2 linked regions of the Lonchura striata genome follow. The protein of the gene in region 1 interacts with the protein of each later gene in a biochemical or structural test. Links are inferred from orthologs where the notes say so. Each region holds a gene or a part of one and is shown in the gene's direction. Other genes may lie near its edges.

The links. The genes of interacting proteins can lie anywhere in the genome.
Region 2: the proteins of RNH1 (region 1) and ribonuclease CL2 are reported together in a solved structure, tested with the Homo sapiens proteins (3 studies listed by BioGRID and IntAct, with this or other methods). The link is inferred for Lonchura striata from reciprocal best matches to the Homo sapiens genes RNH1 and ANG.

The regions. Positions count from the first base shown.
Region 1 is NC_134608.1:44,411,933-44,419,411, reverse strand, and holds the start of RNH1 (ribonuclease inhibitor), read left to right. Parts: upstream 1-4,454; 5' UTR 4,455-4,708; intron 4,709-6,459; exon of another isoform or gene 6,460-6,532; intron 6,533-6,642; exon of another isoform or gene 6,643-6,725; intron 6,726-7,479. UniProt on the Homo sapiens protein: Ribonuclease inhibitor which inhibits RNASE1, RNASE2 and angiogenin (ANG). May play a role in redox homeostasis. Required to inhibit the cytotoxic tRNA ribonuclease activity of ANG in the cytoplasm in absence of stress.
Region 2 is NC_134606.1:43,716,192-43,722,219, forward strand, and holds ribonuclease CL2, read left to right. Parts: upstream 1-4,479; 5' UTR 4,480-4,575; exon of another isoform or gene 4,576-4,581; intron 4,582-4,965; 5' UTR 4,966-4,971; coding exon 4,972-5,406; 3' UTR 5,407-5,503; downstream 5,504-6,028. Other genes in the region: RPS3A (small ribosomal subunit protein eS1), read right to left, coding at 246-454, 616-803, 1,917-2,020, 2,263-2,324. UniProt on the Homo sapiens protein: Secreted ribonuclease that can either promote or restrict cell proliferation of target cells, depending on the context. Endocytosed in target cells via its receptor PLXNB2 and translocates to the cytoplasm or nucleus.

The DNA.
Region 1 (7,479 bases):
CCTGGAGGCCTCTGGTGGAGCCAAAACACTTCTTCATCTTCTGCAAATTTAAGAAGGAGTCATTGATATAGGTGGCATTTATTTAAAAAAAGGTCAAGACTTTGCTCCCTGAATTTATCCAATTGCAAAGTTCAAGCAAGTTCTTCACATTCTGCCCCTATTCTACTGCAACAAGCCACAAGGAATAACCAAAAGCTTAAAAAAAAAAAAGAAAAAGAAAAAAAAAAAAAGAGAGAGAGAGAAGCTGTTTATTAAAACTGATGGTGTATCATAACGAAAAAACAACCTCACAGGATTACACTCAGCTGGCATTTCCATCCCTGCCACAAACTGAACTGGGATTCAGTGGAGGAAAACAATTCTGAGCACTTTCCTCAGTTATATGCACAAGGAAATTATCTTTCTGGCAAATTTCAATGACAAAGAATGAAATTCAACTTTCAAGCTGCTCTCAGGCTCCAGCCTACACCTGAGGAAACTCCAAAATATCCCACCCCCAAACCTTTGCAGCAAATTAATTCTAATAATCCAAGGAAGAACTGGATTAAAGAGAGAATGCAGTGGGTTTTTTTATGGCACAAGTCTTATGGGAAGCAGCTGAGGGAACTGGAGCTGTTTAGCCTGGAGAAAAGGAAGCTCAGGAGACCAAATCACTTCTACAACTGCCTGGAAGGAGTTTTAGGCAGGTGAAGGGGTCTCTTCTCACAGGTGACAAGTTACAGCATCAGTGGAAATGGCCTCACGTTGTGTCATGGGAGGTTTAGATTGGATATTAGGAAAAAATTATTCTCTGAAAGGATGGTCAGGCATTGGAACAGGCTGCCCAGGTAAATGTTGGAATCACCACCCCTGGAATTGTTCAAAAGGCATGTGGATGTAACTCTGGGTTATGGTTTAGTGGTGAACACAGTGTTGCTGGGTTAACAGATGTACATGATCATTTTGAGGTCTTTCCTGACCATCGCGACTCTAGGATACAAAGTGATTTTTTCTGGACACAAATACCCATGAATTCTCATGGATATTCTCATGGAGACTAAAGAGAGATGCCTCTACTGGCAGAGGACATCTATTATTCCTTTCTGCAAAAAAGCAATGGTATCATGTAAAGTGAGGTCTGAAAACCAGATTAGCATATGGTGGTTGAGGTTCTTTTAGCTCCAAGATTTCATTCTTGCCTTTTAAAGCTGATTTAAACTCACACTTCTGAGTCCTGGACAAAATAATGAAATAACCAGCTGTCCCTACAGTGACCTTCAAAGTTTCAGCAAATTATTCAAGTCTTCCTGTGCAGCAAGATTTAACAGGAAAGTGAGATCCATTGCAGTCTCCCATTTCATCAGCTGCTGCACAGCTGGCATGAAGAGACTGTGCTGTGAAATACACCTGTGTTTCTGGTCTAGTCCTCTCCGTTTCCCCTCTAGCTGTGGCTCCATCTCAGCCCTCAACCCCTGCAATGTCTTGGTGACCAAGGGCAACTTCGGGATGAGGGAAAACCAGAGGACCATAAGTCTGGTCAAACTGATGCTGCATCGCCCTCTGCAGACGGGCAGGCAAACACTGCCGAAGGCTGAGACAGAATATGAAGAAAAGCAGGGATGTGAGAAAAATTCCTCTGACAGTACTTTTTCTGCAGGTGTGTTGGTTGATGTAGATATCTGGCAAGCTCCGTTTTCTTGGGGCTCCATTTTCCCTGGACCCACTGTGAAAGACTGTATCCACAGGGATAAAATATTACACATACACTCACAGCACTACTTCAATATAATGCTCTCCACTCCCTCAAAAAAAAAAAAAAAAAAAACAAAAAAAAAAAAAAAAAAAAAAAAACAACCCAAAAAAACCCACAGTGCAAAATGGAAACAACAGCTTTTCTTTTACAAGAACAAGGAGACCACATTAGAACAGCAAGAATTTCCTCTCTAATGGTTTTCTTGTGGGAATCTATAATGAGCTGCCACAGAATGGAACATCCATATGTGTGTGTGCACGCATGCAAGTCAGGGTGAGCAATTGCCTGTATTTTCTGAAACACCCAAACCTTGCTCACAGCTTGCTACCAGCACCTGTTTATAACCTCCTTTTTTTTTTTTTTTTTTTTTTTTTTTTTTTTTTTTTTTTTTTAGCTCCTGAGGCATCAGTTAAGCCACAGTGTCAGGTTCTCCATTCTAGCTCCACAGATACTTTGCTCCCCAGTGCTTAATCAGCCCACTGACTCTTCAGGAATGACCCAAGTTTTGCATTTCCTCACCCTACAAAGCCTTACTTCAAATTTGCACACAAACTGAAGGAACAAATGGCTTCCAGCAATGGATCAAGTAGGATATAAACAAATCACTCACTGCAACAAATGGAGCTGGGCAGATGCTTAAAACTCACGGTTTTGATCTCCACAGCTGAATTTATGGAATGAATTTGCTGGTACAGATCACATAATCAAGTTAGAAAAAGATCTGTCACTACTCTTAGAAGTTTATTGTCTTTAATTACCATTAAGTATATGCACAGAGGCATCATAAGAGCAGAGAGGACAGAACAGGAAACTGCTAGAAGGGGAAGAGGCAGAGTTTTCAGTTTACACTAATGGCCTTAATTTAAGTGTTTTTTTGTAAGTTTACTCTAGGATTGTGTGCATAAATTTAGTTTTAAAATAAAGTAATCTTAAATGCAGAGAGGCAGCAGGGGCAAGATGGGCATCATTATGCTCTCCCTCCCTGCTACAAAGGCCAAAAGAGGGAGAGGATCTAAAAAAAAAAAAGAGGAGATAAATTTGAATGAACGCAAAAGGATAATGGGAAACTGTGATAAAGAGGAGAACACAGGGCAGATGTCACTGCCAGACTCCTCAAGGCATCTTTAAGGAATCAGCCTGAGCCTGTACAAATAACCAAATGGACATGCCTTCCATGTCAGGAGTCTTCCACTGTTTCAGTGGCAAGACATTCACAGGTATTTCTCACTTGTGTTTGCTGTTGGCTTTCTGAGCCCCATTTTGTATCATTTCCTCTGGATCTGTGTGTATCTCGATGAGCAGGATGGCCTGGTCCTGCATGCTAGGAAAAAGGCAATAGATTTTTTCCAGAGATGCCTTTTGTTGTCCCCACAGTGAGGGCAGCCAAAGGGTACAAAAGCACATAACCTTTTGGTAAGGCTATTTGGCCTATAAATATAATATTTCACCAACACAGACCAGAGTGTATTGGGAGTTTTGCCCAGGACAAGAGGTCTACAGAAGGTCCATGTGACATAAACCTCTCTGAAATCACTAACAAACACTAGACTTTGTCCTTTAGAGACTCCTGATAAGTGCAGTGAAGTGGGAACCAAGAGCAGAGAGATGCCAGCAATGGCTGAATAGGAAATGACACCTTTGCTGTCGGATCTTCAAATTGCCTGGTTGACTGGGAGATCTGCCAGCATAAACTTTCTTCCTAACACTAGTGGTCTTCTGAAAGCATCATGCCAAGCAAAAAGGGCAGAGACATCCTTCAATAGCCACAGCATCCCCTCCATTTGCCTGCCAGGGAGCATCCTAACAAGCACCAAAGCCAGGAGCTCAGGCCATCCCCAAGCTCTTGCCTGTGCTTCAGCAGGTTTCAGGTCAGACCCAGAAGCACAAGGACTAGCAAATTCTTTATGTGGATGACCCTGTTTTCCTGAGAGGGAATAGGGAAGAGGTGAATTCTCTGGCTTTCAACTCTCTTCTGGGCACTGAGGAAGGTGGGTTTTAGCTCACTGAGCTCTCCTGGTTCCAATCTCCTTCAGGAGAACTGTAATAAATGCAGCTGGAGGGAAAGCCTCTAGTGTTTCTCCTGTGACTCAACAAAGGCTCTGTTTCCCAGGACATCATTCTACCATCATCTCTGTCAGCATCTGCAGCCACAGAAGGGAAAGACAAATCTGTCCTTCTGCTACTGGATCATTTTCAGACTATTGAAAAATTAATTCATCTTCACACCATTGAGAATGGGGGAAGAAGGCACGTTACTTCAACCCGCAACTTTTGTGCAATACAGCTTGAGTGAAGGCAGGGTTTTCCTTGAGGAGGAGAAGAGCCTCAGTGGGAATTTGGGAGGAGAAGGTTGTAGGAGTGAGGTCCATGCTAGCTGCTGAGGGGCAGTTTTAGGGAGACACAATGAGGACTGTGCCCAAGGGACCCTTCCTGACAGTGTGAGCATTCAGCTTGTGCAGAAGCAGGGGACTGACTGCCTGTGCCCTAGCCCCTGCTGGGAAGAGGGATGCAGAGACCCCAGTAAGGTGACAGGTAATGTGCTCAGCATCATTCCTAAGCCTGGCAGAACAGGCTTGCCTGGAAAATGGAGAAACTAGGCAAACTTCACCATCTCTACCCACACTTCAACACTGTGGTGGCCTCATTTTCGGATGGATCCTTCAGTGGCAACTACTCCTTTGTTCTGTGCTAAACCATGGCAAGTGGCCACATAATCCAGTGCGAGAAGTAAAAGCTGCCTCTGTCACCATCAGGAGCTTTTTGCACCATTTGCTTAGTCACAAGCCAGACATAATCGTGCTTGCTCTGCAAGGCCCTGAAGAGCTGCCACGAGAGGAAAAAAGCCGTCAGAGCCCAAAACTGTTTCCCTCCCTCTAGCAGGCACCATGTGTACGACAGCAGAGGTTGCGTGGTAACGACAGCAGGAAGGCGCCGGCTCTGCTCCCCTCGCTGCTGCACAGAACCGACAACAGCAAGGTACGTACCAGCGGCAAAAGCAGGCTCTGAAACTCCCGAAACTTTCCCTCCTGCTTTCCGGGGAGGAGCACGGAACCATTTCAAAGCCCTGCTTTGTAGGGAACAGCTGCTTGTGCTTAGTTGAACTGTTGTGTGAGCCAGGGTTATGGAAAGAGGGTGTTTGTAGGTAGAAAAAACTGGGGAGACGCTGAGATCTTGGGGGTGGAGGGAGAAAGGCAAGTCGGGGTGTCGCCTAATGCCTCTCGGCACTTCAAAACCTTTCTTTGTTCGGTCTTGTGAAAATCTGAATGAGCTTTTACCGAGGTTAAAACTACCGGGAAACAATAGGGAGGGAGACAGGGAGTAGCTAGCAGGCGGAGGAGGAAGCGAGCCAAGGGATGACGAATGCCTTCCAGCCCTGACCAAGCGCTGCCACCCTCGCCCTGCCACGGGACGGATGTGCGGGACAGCCACTGGTCACTGGGGTCAGTGGGGGCAGTGGCACGGGGAGAGCCCGGAGCGCAACAGGCCTGGCAGCAGCACAAGGCCGAGGCGCCCATCCTCCACTGCTGTCACAGCTCCGTTCCAAAGGGCTCAGAGAGAGAGGCCTTTGTGCCAGCGAGGTGCAGCTCTCTGCCGGTGTTGGGCTGATGAGGGACACAGATACGAGAAGATGCGTCGTGGATAGACTGGTGCCAGGGATGGGGAGCAGGGGCTGCCAGGCCCTCCGAGCTGGCCTCCCGTGCACAGCTGTCTGGAAGATGGAAGTCAGGGAGACCACTGAGGATATTTTTGTTGTTTCCAGTTCAAACAATTCCTAGTTCCGTGCTCCCTGGGGAAATCTTGTCTCCCCTAGCTGAGATCTTGCCACGGTGCCTCTGCTCTGGGTGATCTGCATGCATTCCCATCTTGCTCCAGGTCCTGGCACACTGCAAAGGTTGCCCTCTCAGCTGATTGGTACACTACCTCATCTTCTGTTTGATACTGCCACCTTTTGTGCATCCCCTTATGATAGGGATTTCTCTTTCTCCTATTTTGTTTCCTGCGTATCCCAGTGCTCCTCCTCAGGGGGTATCAGGGAGGATGGGAAAAAAAGGGCAACAGGATATAGGAGTAAAAGGAAAGGGAGGGAAAAAGGTCGAAAATAGAGAAGTTGGTGAGAAGATGAAAAAGAGGAAAGACAGAGGAGGAGAGATAGCAGAAAAAAGGAGGGCAGAAAAAGGAACAAAAGAGAATGGTTAAAGAGAAAAATGAGAGAAGAGAGAGGGAGGAAGAGAGAAGTGAGGGAGGGAGGAAGAGAGAAGTGAGGGAGGGAGGGAGGGAGGGAGGGAGGGAAGGAAGGAAGGAAGGAAGGAAGGAAGGAAGGAAGGAAGGAAGCAAGGAAGGAAGGAAGGAAGGAAGGAAGGAAGGAAGGAAGGAAGGAAGGAAGGAAGGAAGGAAGGAAAAACTAAAAAGTTAAAAAAAAGGAAGTGAGGAAAATGGAAGGAAGGAGATATGAAGGAAACAGATAAAGGAGAGTGGAGGGGGAAAGCAAGAAGGGAAAAGAGAGGAAAGGAGGAAAGAAGGTCAGAAAAGAGGGGGAGAGGGAAGCAGGGAGAAGTCAGGAAAAATTTAGAAAGGGAAAGACAAATGGAAAAGAGAGGGGAAAGGGCGTTAAGTGTCAGAGAGGGCATGAATAAATAGAGAGGGGGAAAACGGAGGGAAAAAGGAAGAAAAAGGGAGAGAAAGAGGAAAAGGGGGAAGAAAGGGGAAAAGGGGAGGAGGGACAGATCCTGCTCCTCCCCGCCGCGATACGAGGCGGAGCCGGGCCGGAGCCGGCGGCAGCTGCGCGGTGGCGGCGCGGCGGTAGGAGCCGGGAGCCGGGCCGGGCCGGGGCGGAGGGAGCAGGGAGGGAAGAAAGCCTGGGAGGGAAGAGCGCTGCTTGCGGTGCGGGAGGCGGCGGGGCGCGGCGGCAGCGGTGGCGGCAGTGCCTCGGGGTAGGACCGGGCCGCTCCCGGGACCCCGAACGGAACGGGATCCCTCCTCGGCTCGCAGGAAGGTGCAGAACTCGGGGCTGCGGGGAGAACCTCTTCTCGATCCGGGGGGGGCTAAAACGGGAGAGTGCCCGAGCGACGCGGCGAGGGCTATGGCAGTCCGGCTGCCACTGTCCCCTCGCGTGTCGCCGCTGGCTCCGATCCCCATCAGCCCGCGACACGTGGGGCTGTGGTGCGGTCCCGCGGAGGCCGTGGGCCGGGATTCCCGGCAGCGCTCGCGTTGGGAAGGGAAGGGCCGAGGCCGGGCAGGTCGGTGCGCTCTCGCTGCCGCTGGCGCCGTGTCCCGGTCCGGCCGCGGTTGCCGAGCCCCTCCCCACGTGGGTGCCGGGTTTGTTGTGGGCGCGCCCTGACGGCAGCGCTGGTGCGCGCCGGCCTCCGAAAAGCCAGCTTGGGGTCCCCGCGATGTTACGGCGGCAGGCAGGAGGGGACTGGAAAGAGGGACGACGGTGGCTGCCTGCAGCTTACATTCCCACGGAATAGCTCAGGGATTATTTCTTTTTCATGCCCCGTAGTCTGAGTCATGCTGGCCAAACCAGGAGACCAAGGCTGCATTTTATCACCTACTACAGCGGTGCCTTTAACCCCATCCCTTGTAGACTAAACCTAGAGCTCAGCTACTGGCCTTGGCATGTTTTTGTGCACGTTTATCTGGAGCTGTTCTGCACAGCGCTGTTTACATCAGTTCAGAAATGCAGTTTTACTGCAGACCAAAAAAAAAAAAAAAAAAAAAAAAATCTGCTTACCAGCTTCTCTGTACTT
Region 2 (6,028 bases), on another chromosome or scaffold:
CTGGAGAGTGATTTTACATTTATGCAAACGTGACAGTGGATTCAGGTCAGAAGGGATGCAGACACTAAGAGGAGCCAATTGCAGAGAAGGACAATTGGCTTTTCCACACCAGGGACTCCTTGCCTGGTCTCTGGCAAACAGCTTGGGATGCACCAGCGCTCCTCCCTCAGGCATTCAGCACAAATCAACCCCCAAACAAGGATTTAAACTGTAGGGGACAAAAAAAGAACACAGCCAAAGCTTACAGCTTATTGACAACTTCCTTCAGGTCATTGGTCTGCACCTCCCGGGTCATGATCTCCATCATTTTCTTGCGGATCTGCCGGACCTGCTGGTGCTGGGCATAGGAGGTCTTGCGGATTTGGTTATTGCGCTTCTTGGTGAAGCCCACGCAGAAGAGGCGCAGCAGGTACCCGTCTGTGGTTTTGACATCCACGTGGGCTTCAATCATTGTCTGCAAGAGGGAGCAGGACCATCACCACCCACGCAGCACGGGCTGCCCAGCCCCACACACCCCACGCCGTCCGATGCCGCTTCAAACACAGCTTTGCCAGGCACCAGCGCTCCCTCCCTCCCTGAGGCACCGGCAGCGACCACACCTTGTTTCTTACACACCTGCCATTTTTTGACCATGGAGCACATTTTGTCCCGTGTGAGGTCCATCCCATGGAAGTTGGTCAGACAATTTTTGCCCTGAACGTCCTCAGTGATCAGTTTAAATTTGCGGAAGGCAACCTCATCATTCTGCAGATCAGCCAGGCTCACTTCAAACACGCGGCCCTTCAGCCCGTCAGAGGCAATTTCTGGGAGATGGAACAGAATAAAACACCTTAGATTAACATTAGAAGCACATTCTTCAAATCAGATACTAAATTCCCGCTGGAATCCTGTTCTCTGATATTTTCTAATGGTGATCACAGAGCCAGCAAGGTTGGAAATTTCTCCCTTTGGGAGGAATCTTTCAAGGCAGTATTATCAGGTGTGGGATACGGACAGCAGCACACACCAGTTCCACGTGTAATAATTTGGTTTGTTTCAAGCATAAATGGGTTACAGAGTATTTGGAAATTATCAACAGTCATGAGAAAACTAAACATAAAAAGCCACAAGTGCTCAGCAGAGATGAAGTAGGAATGAACAGCCCAGTACAATCATTTCACCGCTCCTCCTCCAACGAGGAGCCATTTTAACAACACTGGCTGGTTTGGCAGCAACCCTCATTTTATTTGTTTCAGATGTTACAGTTCAAAGCAACAATCATCATCCCAACTTTGAGTGCAGCCAGCAGAGTATCATAAGGCTGTTCAGCCATTCTCCATGGCTAAACTTCCAAACACATGGTCACCTCTATCCAGACACCTCTGCATTGCTAACAGAAGTCTCTCTTCCTAAGATGTGCCACACGAATTTACCCTCCTGTGATACATCAGTGCTCCCATTAAGTCAGCAATTCCGGCTCTAATCTTTACTCAAAAGCTTTACATTTCATCTATTTCAGTGTCTTCATGTGTTGGTCGTTATGGTACTACTAGGACTAAGGTCTCCTGTGGCACCGTCCCACATCTCCCCCCATGACAATCAGTACTACTGCTTACTTCCTGAACCTTTCCCGACTTGCCAGGTTACAAGGGAAACTCATTAGAAACTTCAGGCCCTTTCTTCCATGGTTTGGCATTGCTGTACAAACAAGAGTCCAGTGTACGAACTTCCTGCAGCTAATCTCATTTATTCAAACAGCTCAGTCAACTCAAAAAAAATCCACTCAAATCACCCAACTTTTTAAGCTTCCAAGCTCGTAATAGTAGAAGCATTTTTCATTTTTCAGCAGTCTTTTATACAGAGAGTTCTTTAAGCGCTTGGAGCTAGCATGCGGAGCAATCACAATCCCCGGTACTGCCCCAAGCCCAAGCACTCACTAGTTCCTTGAGTCCTGGTGACAAGCGTCTTCCCGATGTTCCGGATATTGAACATCGCCGGTGCTTTGACATCGTACCAGTCCTTCTTGGAGAAAGGGTCGACCCTTGAATCAAACGAAGCAGGTTTTTTAACCGACCTTCTCGGGCCACACGGGGCTGCAGCATGCCCTTCCTCTCCGGCTGCCGCCGCCGCTCCCGCCCCGCCGGGCCCACGCCCGCCATGACGGCATCGGCCCTGCTCCGGCCGGGCCGCGGCCGCCATCCGCCCCGCATCCCCGGCATCCCACCTCCGCGGCGCCCCGCCCGGCGCCCCCCGCACCGCCCGCCGCGCCCCGGCGGCCCTCACACTTTCTTCTTGGCGCCCTTCTTGCCGCCCTTGGTGAGGCGCTTGTTCTTCCCGACCGCCATGTCCGGCCCGCGCCGCGGAAAGGGCGGCGCGCGCGCTCCCGCGAGATTATACGGGAGCGGCGCTCGCGCGAGACCCGCGAGAGCGGGGCCGCCTCCAGCGCCGGGAGCGGGGGCGGGACGGAACCAACGGCACGGGGGGCGGGGGGAGCCGCCCGTGCTCCTGAGCGCCCCCGCCTGGAGCCCCGCGGGGCGCCCGGCCCCGCGCTCCCGATCCCCGCGGGGCGCCCGGCCCGCGCTCCCGATCCGTGCGGGGCGCCCGGCCCCGCGCTCCCGATCCCCGCGGGGCGCCCGGCCCCGCGCTCCCGATCCCCGCGGGGCGCCCGGAAATGCGGATGCCCCGGTGGGGCAGCTGTGCGGACGGGCAGAGCCACAAGGACGGGGTTCGCTGCACCGACGGTGCTCGGGCGAAAGGCAGGTGCCACCTCCTGCCCTTTCTGATGTCTTCAAGCTGAATTATCTGTCCCCAGGCTGAATCTCATCACCTTTTGTAAACGTAACTGATGTCGTCTGATATTTTCTACAATGGAAATTGGCAATGAGGAACTTTGTATTTCAAGTATTGCATAAGAGTGCTGTCATACAAACAAATAAATATACATCAATAGATGAGAAATATGCATTAGACAAGCAGGCTCATGTGAATTTTACTGTATAAAAGATGTTACTTTTTACCCCATGGAGTGTTTGATTTGTCAAACCTCCACCTTGCATCCTGTGCAGAAAAAAAAAATATCTCCTTTCTAAATTATGTTTTGAGAGCTCCTAGAATCGGCAGCTTTCCCAGGCCTTGGGGCACCGAGGGAACAACCAGAGTGGGTGGTCTGGGCTGCTCCAAATGCCCTGGCTGATGGCTCCTCTCCCCTCTGCACAGAGCAGGAGGAGGCTTCACTCAGCCCTCCTGCATGGGCAGGGATGGCACATGGAGAAGCGGTGCCCAGGACATCACCAAGCAGTTGGAAACCCCCTGGAACAAGAGCTGACCACAGGCTGTGGCTCCCCAATGAGCCTCACAGCAGCCTCTGGCAAGAATATGCCTGGGGCTCTGCCAGGTAGGATGGGGTCCAGCACAGGTACCTGCACCATGCCCACTAAAGAGAGCCCACTGCCAAGCATCCAGGCTTGTTCCTCGTCCGGTGAGTGCCATCCCTTTTCCACCCACACCAGGACAGTGGGAAGCAGTGTGTCTGAGGGGTCATGGTGAGAGTCCCCATCCTCCTTTCATGCCCAGGAGCAGGGTATTGAGAGTCTCAATACCCTGAGTCTCAAGCAGAGTCTCCTGCTGACCTTCCACATCTGCGAGGTTTTGGCCAGGTTCCTGAACAGTTCCCACTGTAGGAACTGTGTACCTTTGAGGAGAATTTCTTCAGAGGCTGTAGAAACGCCACCAGAGCCCAGGGCAGGACCCTCTGCGCTTTCACTGTGGCCAGTTTTGAAAGTGTTAAAGCTCTTTTGGGAAAGGTGCTGCCAAGGACCTCATTCTGTCTTTTCCACTTCCCATCGGAGTCTCTCTGATGTCTTTGAAGAGGGCGATGGAGACCACTTGCACTCACTCGTGACAGCCTCTCCTGGGCACTGCATGCCTCTCCCTCTGGAGGGGACACGCTTTCTTTGAGGCTCTATTACAATGGTCAAGGGAAAGCAGTATTTGGTGAACTCAGGCTGGCTCCTGGCTCTCTGCTTGTCTCTGCATCAATGGAGCAGCTGGGAGCATGGGAGGTAGCAGTGAGGAAAAATGCATCCTGGCACTTCCAGGAGTGTGAATTTGCCTGCAAGGGGACACGGGGAAAAGGAACACATAGGCCCCTTAGCACTGCAGAAGAGCCATGGATGTGCCATATCTTTCAAGAGTTGTAGGAACATCTGCCAGCTGCCCCAGTGGTGATGGTGACATCCTGCCCCCCACCAGGGACCCACATATCTTGCCCTACCACCCAAAAGGACCCAGGTATCCTGCTTTTCATGGGACAGGTGGCCAAGGCCAGAGTGGGCAGGGGCCACGCAAGGGGATGCACGCAGACAGTCACGTGGTTCGTTAATGACTACCTAATGACCTTGGGGGCCATGAGGGTGAGCAGGGCCTCCCGGACACCTGATTCCCCCAGACATCCACTGGACCTTGCTCTTTACCCTGCCCCTCCTCCTGGATCCTTGCCCATTGGGCACAGCTGGGGCCAGTATAAAAGAGGTGCAGAGGAGTGGGAGGGATCCTGGAGACCCTGAGGCCATAAGGGAAACTGAGGCGCGCACACAGGTGCAGGTGAAGGGTGCACAGGGGACCAGAATGCCTGTGGGAGGGCTCTGTGAGGAACCCAAGCATCCAGTGGGGAAGGGAGGCTGTGTATGGCATCCGGGTGTGGGGGCATGGGGTGGATCTATAGGGGAGCCAGGGGTCTGAGGAGCGGGTAGGGGGTGTTCCATGGGGGACTGAGGCTTCCGGGGAGCGCATAACTTAGGGGACCCATGCATCCAGGCGAGATCCACAGATAGCCCATCTGTCCAGAGATGGGCCCCCTGCACTGGGAGGTGATTTGTATGGGACCCAGGGATTTGGGAGGGGAATCTCTAAAATAACCAAGCGCCCAGGGTGGGATTTCCAGTCGGGGGCCCAGAGGTCAGATGGCCCTAACCCCACCTTCCCTAGGTGGCCATGGCGGGCTGGGTGCTGTGCGTGACCCTTGCGCTGGCAGCGCTGGCAGGGGCGGCGGTCGAGACCCGCTACGAGAAGTTCCTGCGGCAGCACGTGGACAACCCCCGGACGTCCACGCTGGCGGCGCATCGCTACTGCGAGACCATGCTGGCGCGGCGGCGCGTGACGGCCCCGGGCAGGCCCTGCAAGCCCTCCAACACCTTCGTGCACGCCCCGGCCACGGACCTGGTGGCCGCCTGCTCCCAGGCGCCCGACCCCGAGACGGGGTTCCACAGCACCCCGAGCGCCCTGAGCCTGACGGCGTGCCGGCTGCGCGGCGGGGACACGCGGCCGCCCTGCGCCTACCGCGCCCGCCAGGCGCAGCAGCACGTGCGCGTGGCCTGCCGCGACGGGCTGCCCGTGCACCTGGCGGGCACCTACACGGCCCCGCAGTGACGCCTGGCACGGACCCTCGTGGGCCCTCGGCGCGGGCGCAGACCCTCCCTGCCGTCAGGGGCTCTGTTAGCGCTGGCAATAAAGGAGGTGTCAGAGGCCTGGGCTCCAGCATCAGCTTCTGGCGGGACCCTGCGATCATACCCCTCCCTGGGTGCCCCCTGCGCCTCTTGGGTCACCCCAACCCTGTCCAAGATGTATTTGGCCCCCGTGTGCCTTATGGTTCCCAGGAGGCTTGGAACACCCATAGGCCACTGAGGTGTCTCTGCCCTCTCCCCTTTCTTGGGTGTCTCACAACTCCCATGGGTTCCCCATAATCACCACCACCCTCCCAGCCCAAGGCCCACCAATCTCCTGGATGTGTACCCAGCCCTCTCCCCAGTGTCCTGACCCTTTGGGTGTCACATTGCTTTCCTGGATAGCCCATAACTCTCACAGGGTTTCCCAACCTCCCCCATGCCTTATAACCCCACTGGGTACCCCCGAATTCCCTCATGTCTGCGCCATAAACTGTCTGATGCCCCATCTCCCACATGCCTCTGAGCCCATCCGTGATCTCTCTGGGGCTGAAGCTGCTCCCCCTCGGGGCCCTCACAGGACCGAGCCCTGGCTGGGGCCACACAGA